Linked DNA regions of Caenorhabditis elegans. The protein of the gene in region 2 purifies or fractionates together with the protein of the main gene of each other region. This does not show direct contact. Each region holds a gene or a part of one and is shown on either strand. Other genes may lie near its edges.

Region 1 (4,177 bases), on a different chromosome or scaffold from region 2:
AAATATTATTAATGATATAATAATAATCTTGTTGATCCGTTCTATCTCCAGACGATTTTCCTCGTCTCCAGTCGATTTTGCGCTGAAAATGGGATATTTAATGGAATTGTTTTTGTTTTTATTAATAAATAGGAATAAATTTACGAAAATCACAAAATTTTCAATAAAAAACACCAAAAAAATGAGAAAAAATGAGAAAAATCGACGAAAATCGGTATAAAATCAAATAAAAATAGAATGAAAATATTCAGCTCGTAAACCCACACGTGCGGCACGGTTTCGTGGGCGGGGCGTCTCTGGCGGGAAAATTTTGCGTTTGAAAACTCACATATAGGCATCCAATGGATTTTCGGATTTTAAAAATTAATATAAAATCAGGGAAATTTTTTAAAATTTTTTCACATCGATATTCGGTATCAGGGGCAAAATTAGAGTCAGAAACATATATTTCCCCACAAACTCTACTCCCCCTTTAAAGTCACAACACAATTATTGCAGAATTGAACAAGAAAACACATTCGAGAATGTCATCGGAAATAACTCCAGAAAGAAGATTAGCAGACGATTAGTTGGGGGTGTTAGATGATGTTTTTTTGTGTGTTGCCTCAAGTTAATCTACTTTTAGATGATGTATTTCGATATTTGTGAAAACAATTTAATTAAAGCGGTTCATAATTGTTCAATTGTAATAAGAAAAAACCATCAATAAATCACTCATAAACAGCAACCACGATAAATTGGCGATGTTGTTCACTAAAAGCACTGGCCACGCCAACCCACGAAAGTGATTGAACGTCGAGATAGTTCCAGGTACCATATTCTTCCGCTTCATCCCACCATATGTCGGCAATTGACTCGGTTACACGAGACCCCATCCAGATGTTCATACATCGGTTGCGGTCACTTCTGCAAGCTTGAAAGTTTTTTCCATGGTCTTGCACATACAGTGTGTAATCAAAAGTTAACTTTCATCAGAATTGTGTTCAGTTTCAGCTTAAAATTTCAGTTTTTATTGATTTATAAATATTTTTAAATTCAGAATGAAGGTTTAATGGATTTCTCTTGTCTTGTGTTTTTAAAAATTATTTTTATTTTTAAATTGCGAAATAAGAGTAGTATTGTTGTCTTATACATACATACAATATACGCTATTCAAAAATTCTCCACAGAATTTGAAGTAATGTTTCAGTTGCAAATTCATACCATTTTCATGGTCATATTTCAAATTTTGACACTCATATTCCAACCATTATAAAAACGTTTGCATTACCGAAATTCCCCTCTGATCGCCAACATCCGAGCCCACTGGGCAGCAATATCAGCTAACCGGACCGATGGTTCCAATGGAGGGCAAGCAATTGTACTTCTGATTCTGTTCATTCTATCAATAAGACAGTCTAGTGGCTCTCTCCATTCCACTCGCTGAGAGCTGGGAGGAAGAGTTCCAGCAGGATATGGTGCAGCAGGAACTTGATGATGGTGCTGATGAGAATCTTTTTTAGCGGTTCTGAAATTATAACGATTAATTTGAAAAATGAGTTAATAGTTAACCGACTTTAAAATTGATGTTTTCCGTACATAAGAGTCAGTCGTTTTCCATTCTGGGTTCAAAGTTGAATCATCACTTCTGCTATATTCTCGAATGATTTGCGTTGGCGCAACACGATCTATTCCTGTAAATTGAAATTTTTTTGGTAAGTCTCTGAAATGGGGTTTCCCTTCTGTTTAGCAGGTTAGCCTTGGGAAATTATGATAATGTTGTTTTCAAAATCTATATACAAAACTCGTGCACATTTTGGGTCTATACATTAACAACACACAGAAGCATTACTCCTTTTTTAACATTTTGAAATTTATGCTTTTTGTCACTAATGCAATGTTTTCTGTTTGATAACTGTAAATGTAAAATTACAAATCTCATATAAAATACCAATATTGTATTGTATTAAACCTTTGTTAAGCGTTCAGACTGATGGGCAAATTGCTATCGAAAATGTTATCAACTATTTGCACTAACTTTTAACTGGATATTCTCTTTCCACAGGTTCTCTAGCTCTCGGAATCCTGTAATTGACTTCCTGCCTTTTTGGTTCATGAAGCACATCGCGATAGGTGTGAACAGTGTCATAATCCGCCTCGCGGAGCGTATTTCTATTATTCGAGTAGTATCGGTTGCCATCAAATGGAAGTGTCGATTGTTGTGGATTATCATCAAAGTGCGTCGTTTTCTGTGTATAATAACTAGTCATCATCAGCGGGTTTTTCTACTTTCATCTTCCCCCCCCCCCCATTTTTTCATCAGTCACTCACCACATCCGTCACAGATAGTAATTGTCCGCCCGTTGAGAATCTCTCCATTCGTTTTCGAGTAATTGTATGCCTTTGTTCTTCTCGGTTCGGAACCAGCATGGGAGGGAGAAATGCATCCAGGTTCATATTGTTACTATAAAAACATATGAGGGACACATTTTTTTATGGAGAGAAATATATAAAGTAAGTTGTTGAGAGAGTAAATGTGTGATTTTCTTGCAGACAAGATTACAAATAGATAAAAGAGCAAAGGAGCTCCTGACATGTTTGAATCAATTAAAAAAGCTTATATAATCAAAACTTTGAATTTTTATCAAGTTCAATTGAAAAAAGAGCTCATTAATAATAGCAAACGTCTCAGTTGAAAAGCAGTGTTATTCAAAGAAATTAGACTTAACAGGGGAGGGGCTAGTACGGTATTTTTACCGTTTTACTAGGATTTTACTGTTGAAACACTCGGAATTCTGACGTAGAACAAAAATTTAGCACTGTTCGAGTATAGAACTAGACTAATTTTAATCATTTCTCAGATAAATGGTCCCTACAACACTATTAAAATTATTTTTAAATAACATTATTATTTAAAAACGTACTAAGAATAATAAATCACAAGAAAAACACCAAAAAAGTTGAAGGAATTCCAAATATTTCCCATTTCAAAATTGTGCAAAGAAATGGAAAAAAAAGAAGAAAGTGAGAAAGTGATGGCACGACTGTTCAAACATAAAGCATCATTTCATTTTTGACGTTGACGCCTTCTTTTTATTCAATTCAAATTCCATCTGGAAATTTTATGAATGTGTCATCGTTACAATCATCGCCATGTTTACCATGTAAATATGCAGTTCAGTAAGAGAAGATGTGCATATATTAAGAAAAAGTGTTGAAAATTTGGAGAAAAAATGCAGTAATCCAAATTTTGGGTATTTCAAAGGGTCCTAGGTAATTTTGGAAAGCAACTCATTATCTCAATTTTGGATATTTATTTTGAAAATCAGTTCAAATTTCATTTGGCACAATTCACGATTAGAAGGGTAGTAGCATCATTGAATTCTTTTGTTGAATAAAATTATACAAAGTTCTGAATAATTTTACTCTCTTGAATCACAATGCTCTCTGAAAACAAGTTCATTAGCGCCGGCACTGAACTAAGTTCCAATCTTACTTGATCTGACAATGCATCGGTTAATACTTTTTATAATTCATCTTATTTGTCTCGAAGTTTTTGTTAATGTATTGAATCACATGAAACATGTACAATTAAATGATATAACTCTTTTGATACTGACAACATTTTTTTCCTGGTTATACGAATGTTTATTTTTGCAATTTCAGCACCATAAGATTCCATAATAAAGCTAATTCATTCATGCGACATTCTTCAAGTTTACACGATTTTCGGTTTAAATATTCATTATTCGTTAATTATTGGTAATCACGGTCATAAAGCGAGATAATACAAAAAATATCATAGATATTGAATCACGGTGGTAAAGAGACACAGACTGGAAAATATCAAATACAGATTATCAGGGAAAAAATATCATCGACAGTGGGAAGAAGTAGTTGTTGTAGTAGTAAAACAGATGAGTTAATCACATTGAATCGCATCGGGGACGAGGAATAGCTATGCGAGAGTATCACAGTCGTGGGCATCCTGAAGAAGTCGGGACTGTGAATGTGTCGCCAAAGCTGCACGTCGTCTCCAATCACAGAATTTTCATCACATCAGTTTTTCATGTTTCGAAGAAGGGATTATTGGAACTCGAGAATTTCTGAATTTATTTCAAATTGGGATCAATAATTGGAAAAAAGTTGTTTTGAATATTATTTGAAGATATGAACTGTTGTTGTAAAATCATTGACC
Region 2 (5,300 bases):
TTTCAGAAATTCTGTAAAGATTCAAAATACGGATCAGTTCTCAAAAAGCAATTCAAAATAATACAGAGATATTACAGAAATTTTCGGATTTTCCACAAAAGTACGGTAGCCGGTCTCGACGCGACAAAATTTTGCTAACAACAGTAAGTTCAAGAGGAGTGTGCCTTTAAAGATAAGAGTACTGTAATTATTCGTCTAATTGCATATGAAAAATTAATAAAAGACGCAGCAACGAAGATCGGAAATTACAGTAATCTTTAAAGGTGCACATTATTTTGCCTCAAACATAAATGTGGTCGTGTCGAGACCGAGTACCGTTTTTGTGGAATGATATTTGCAAAATTTGGCATCTAGGTAATATTTTAATCGCAGATCACGAAAACTGACCTAGTTTTGAATGTTTTCTTCGCATAAGTGCATCCGAGAATCCACTGGAAAACCTTTTTAACTTCAGCTAAACCAAACCCAGAACTTCCGGATTCTTCGCTCTTTTCATTACCTGAACATTTACAAATGATTAAATCAAACTGGCAGCTTTCTGAAATGCTCACCAAACATGATATCGACCGTTTCTTTTTATTGGAAATGATGAGGAAAATGAGTACAACAAACCAGCGGATAAAATGTGAGAAATAAATGAATTCTATGAAAAATTGAACAATCTATGAAAAAAGCAAACATGATTAAAACCCGTGATTGAATAGGGGGAATTATAGGTTACTGGGTTACGTACATCTATATATATAATTTGAGCGTTACGAATTTTGGCACAAAATACATGAAAAATGATGAAAATTGCAAGAAAACAAAAATACAAATAGGAGAAGTGCAAGAAAATTTCGGATACATTTGTTTTATTTCGGATCAAAATGGAACATCCGTTTCCACTGAGCCATTTGAATCGGGATCATTGCTAACACATCACTAGATTCTAGGTCCGACGGATCTACGTAGCTATAGTTCTGAAAATATTGATTTTTGATCGGTCAGTTTGAAAAAGAGAGTTACCTGTCGCACGAGAAGCCGTCCGTCGGAATGTTTCAATGTCAGTTTCTCAAGATTTCGCATCGGACTGTGATCTCGATCCTAAAAATTAGTTGTTAGGATGTTTCCCAGATTAAAAAAAAGTATCTAACCTGTCCCATTCCAACTCCGATAATACTCATTGGATGAGGCGATGCATCAACTATTGCATCAATTGATCTTTTCATGTTAAGTGCATTGGCAGGGCCACCATCTGAATAGATGATTAGAACGAAGTAGAGACCAACATGACGACGAGATTCAGCTTTTGCGAATCTGAATACAAATTTTACATATCAACTGAAATCTCGCATAACTTACTTTGACATAAAATAAATAACTTCTGAAAAATCTGTTGGTGCAAATGGTTGAAGACCCATAACTGCAGTTCTATAAGCACTTAGCAGTCCTCCCAAACCTTCTACACGTGGATCAGTTGGAGTTCCATTCTGTAAAACATTTAATATATGGATTATTGCTTCAACAAATACTTACTAAACAAAAACAGTGTGATAACTGAAGAGCACCTCCAGGAACTTGAACTTTTGCACCGAACCCAAGAGCTCCAATATGAGGATTCTGAGGATTTGGAAGATAAGCAAGAAGTGGGGGAACTGTTTGAAGAAGTGCTTCGAGATATGGAGATGGTTGATGAGGATGGATGTAATGAAGAGAAGATTGGTTTACAGGATTTCCATTTGATGCAGTCAAATCGATGGCAGACGTTAATTGAATCTTCACACTGAAAATTAAATACTTATTACAACGAAAAAAAAAGTTTGAAAATACATTAATTGGTTTTTTGTACATTTTATTTGTTCAGCTTAAGTATGTCAATTTTATAAATATAAAATTGAATATAAAGCAAAGTGTAAATTTTCAAAGTGTAATTGTAAATTTAAGCATGAAAACTATTGTTATGAACCGGAAAGTGTTCCATTCCAAAACCAGTTTTTCTTACTTATTTTCCATCATTTGAAAAAATGTCGGACCATTTTCCAAGCTCAATTCTTTCAATTCGATGCAAGTCTTTTCATGAATTCGTTTCCCATTAGGCTCCATCAGCTGAAAAACTGTTAATTAATAAATATATTTTAAACAAAAAATCATACCATGTAAGAATTAAAATGCCCAACACCTTGTTGTAGTTGTGTGAGAGTAGTTGTACAGTGTCCAACGAGTTGATCATCATGATTTGGTGTGTAATTATATACATGAAGTTGAATCGATGATTCATTAAAATAATTAAGCAGAAACAGAGGAATACTAAATGCCGCCCATTCTGGATATTTTGTTTCTCTCAACATTTCCGATTTGTACAACATAATTGTCCGTTCTTCAGTGGGAATTGAGAGAATGTAATACAGTTGAAGTGGAATAACATCCGAAGGACTGTGCAAATAATTTCCAGAAAACCTAATGCGGAGAAACTGGGAATAATAATCTGGAACTTTTCCAACAATTTCCAGAGAACATGGCGCAAGTGGTGAAGCGATAAGGAGAATGAGACGTCCTCCACATGCGAACATCATAGAAATATCGAAATCGGCAGTACCCATTGATCCCATAATTGTCTTTGTGGAGGAGTTTAGTACATTTCTGAAATATGAGTTTTTAAAGAAAAAATTATTAATTTTATTGCTATTATTTTTCAGCTTCCGATTGATTTTCGGAAGTAAAACATACATGGTAACTCGATATCTTTGCATTTTTTCAATCCTGTAGTTTAGATTTAACTTTTCTGTGAAAAATGCGTCACTTTGTCCATAAATCGCTTCGGTTTCAGCAACTTTTTCAACAACTTCCATGTCCTTGTCCAAACTGAATATTTTGAGGCTAACGCCATCGGCTGATGGATAGAACCGAGCATTTCTTAAAAATTAGTAATTTTAATAATGTTTAAATAATGAATATACTCAAAATCGTTAAAATGCTCACCGAATAGCGAAAGTTATCTCGATTCCGTATGCCGCCATTTTGTCGGGAGAAACGAGCAGCATGCACACACTTGAGGTCGTTTTTACACTTTTATATGTCGTCCGATCGATGACTCATGAATTTCGCCTGTCAAAAAGACAAAATTTATTATTTTTATATGATATAAAATCTAAATATGCGCCATTAGGAAAAACAACTGAAAATTTGAGAAATTGTCTACGAGGAGTACACGGAAACACAGTATATTTCGAAAGTCGCTGTGAGACACAGGAGTGTTTTTTTGAATAAAGTTCTTTGCAACTACAAACTGTATTTCGTGGCAAGACCACTCCTGCTAGACGCGTGTTCCTTGAGCCATTTTTAATTCTTTTTGATTTTAAAAAGTTGTATTATTTTTTCTAATGATTTTTAAAGCGTATTTCATAATTTTTTATAATTTTTTGTGAATAAAAATACGCTTCCAAAAAGAAAATCAATAAAGTGGTGAGATATTTCAAAATATAGAACTTTCTTGAGTGTCTTCTCAGCAAACACTGATGCCGTTTCCTAAAACCAGTTCAATTTTCTCATCCTTTGCTATTTCTTGAAATTCGAGGCAAAATTGTGTGCACTTCCTCGTCACCGTGTTTGCGGACTCTCGTGAGCACTTCTCTTTCGAATTTTATGCACTTCTTTCCCATTTTTGCCTATTTTCTGCCTTTTCCTTTCAATGACGATTAAAATTTCATATTTTTAGTAATGGCTCGTGGTCAACAAAAGATCCAATCGCAACAGAAGAATCAAAAGAAGGCTGATGCCGCAAGAAAAGCCGGAATCGACCAGAAAGCTGCAGCTGCCAAGGTGATTTCATTTCAATCGGAGTGTTTTCTGCAAATTCATTTAAAACGATTTTCAGGCACTCAATCACAAATGTACCGTCTGTCTTGCCATGATGCCAGATCCAAAAACTTACAAGCAACACTTCGAGAACAAGTAAGCGAATTAAAATGTTCGTGAAATTAAAAAAACAAATTGTTGCAGGCACCCAAAGAGCCCACTTCCAGCAGAACTCGTTGAAGCTTGAGCACCCAGTAATATTGAATTCTTCGAAAATGCACTCCATGTCACCTCTTTCAGTCCCAAAAACACTTTATTTTCTGTACCGCACCATTTTCGATCATAATCATTTTTCTAAATTTTGAATGGCTGCAGTTAATGAAATTTATCGAATTATGTTTACTTTACCAACTTTCTTATTGTCTTGCAAAGTTTCAATCTTAATTTATCTATCTCAATTTACGCTGCTTAATATTTATCACTCAAACAAAGTTTTAGAAGCAAACATGATTCTCACTGAAGTCAGCCAGCCAACTGAAGGAATCAAGCTTGCCACAACCAATGTACAGGCTTTCTTCAAGATTGACTCACTTGGAAACGGAACCCTTTACATTACCGATAGGTACGGTTTTCTAGTAACAGTGAAGAAATAATGTTTAATTTCAGTGCAGTTATCTGGATCAGCTCGGCCGCTGGAACAAAAGGATTTTCGGTTGCCTATCCAGCAATTGTTCTTCATGCCATATCCACTGACGTCTCCGTTTTCCCATCAGAACACATATTTGTCATGGTTGATCAGCGGAAGTCAGGTATGCATTATCGGCAATTTTCAGATTTTACCTCTAATTTTTAGTACGAAGACGGAGACGTGCGCCTGTTCTGAGGACAATACAGGAAGATGACGAGCAGAGAGGTACACGTCTTCGCCTTCTTTTTCAACCGGATCCTTGCTAAAATTAAGATTCTTTGCAGGCTTGGAACTTGCTGCTGCAGAGCTCGAAGACGAAGAAAGTGATGATGATGAGGAAGAACCAGCACTTGAAATCCGTTTTGTTCCAGATGACAAGGATTCATGTGAGTGATAAATAAAACAAATAAACTATTTTTCGTTTTCAGTAAGCCAAATTTACCATCAAATCGCTGTTGGACAAGAGGAAAATCCAGAAGAAGACGATCCTATGTATGACGACGAAGAAGAGGAAATGGAAGAAGAGATGGGTGACGACGGACAAGGACAATCTGGACAGTGGTTCACAGCTGATAATGTAAGATATTTACTTGAGCGCTCCCCCAAGCGCTTGAGATTGATAGTGAATTTTCCAATTATTACATTTTCCAGATTGATCATATGCAAATGAGTGAGGAAGGTCTTGCCAATATGCAGAGAATTTTCGGAAGAGGCGATCAACATCAACACCATCATAACGAAGATGAATCTATGGAATAAACCAACACATTTTCATTTTTCATAATATCTTACCCCGTTTTCTCATCGATCTTTCTTTCAAAATATTCCATGTTGT

Evidence for each region.
Region 1: the proteins of cpna-3 (region 2) and C04C11.1 fractionate together in Caenorhabditis elegans (co-fractionation; one large-scale study listed by BioGRID). This does not show direct contact.

What each region holds. Positions count from the first base shown.
Region 1 is NC_003284.9:14,018,858-14,023,034, reverse strand, and holds C04C11.1 (SCP domain-containing protein), read right to left. Parts: upstream 2,446-4,177; 5' UTR 2,437-2,445; coding exon 2,311-2,436; intron 2,250-2,310; exon of another isoform or gene 2,229-2,249; coding exon 2,018-2,228; intron 1,674-2,017; coding exon 1,556-1,673; intron 1,508-1,555; coding exon 1,271-1,507; intron 994-1,270; exon of another isoform or gene 907-993; coding exon 711-906; 3' UTR 641-710; downstream 1-640.
Region 2 is NC_003282.8:9,094,629-9,099,928, reverse strand, and holds cpna-3 (VWFA domain-containing protein), read right to left. Parts: upstream 3,088-5,300; 5' UTR 3,024-3,087; coding exon 2,962-3,023; intron 2,896-2,961; coding exon 2,710-2,895; intron 2,623-2,709; coding exon 2,136-2,622; intron 2,089-2,135; coding exon 1,985-2,088; intron 1,766-1,984; coding exon 1,519-1,765; intron 1,473-1,518; coding exon 1,345-1,472; intron 1,300-1,344; coding exon 1,137-1,299; intron 1,087-1,136; coding exon 1,009-1,086; intron 963-1,008; coding exon 855-962; 3' UTR 563-854; downstream 1-562. Other genes in the region: gldi-10 (AMP-activated protein kinase glycogen-binding domain-containing protein), read right to left, coding at 1-11, 388-499, 552-558; znf-706 (Small EDRK-rich factor-like N-terminal domain-containing protein), read left to right, coding at 3,700-3,801, 3,857-3,933, 3,982-4,024; icln-1 (Methylosome subunit pICln), read left to right, coding at 4,284-4,399, 4,444-4,586, 4,631-4,690, 4,750-4,851, 4,894-5,042, 5,117-5,224.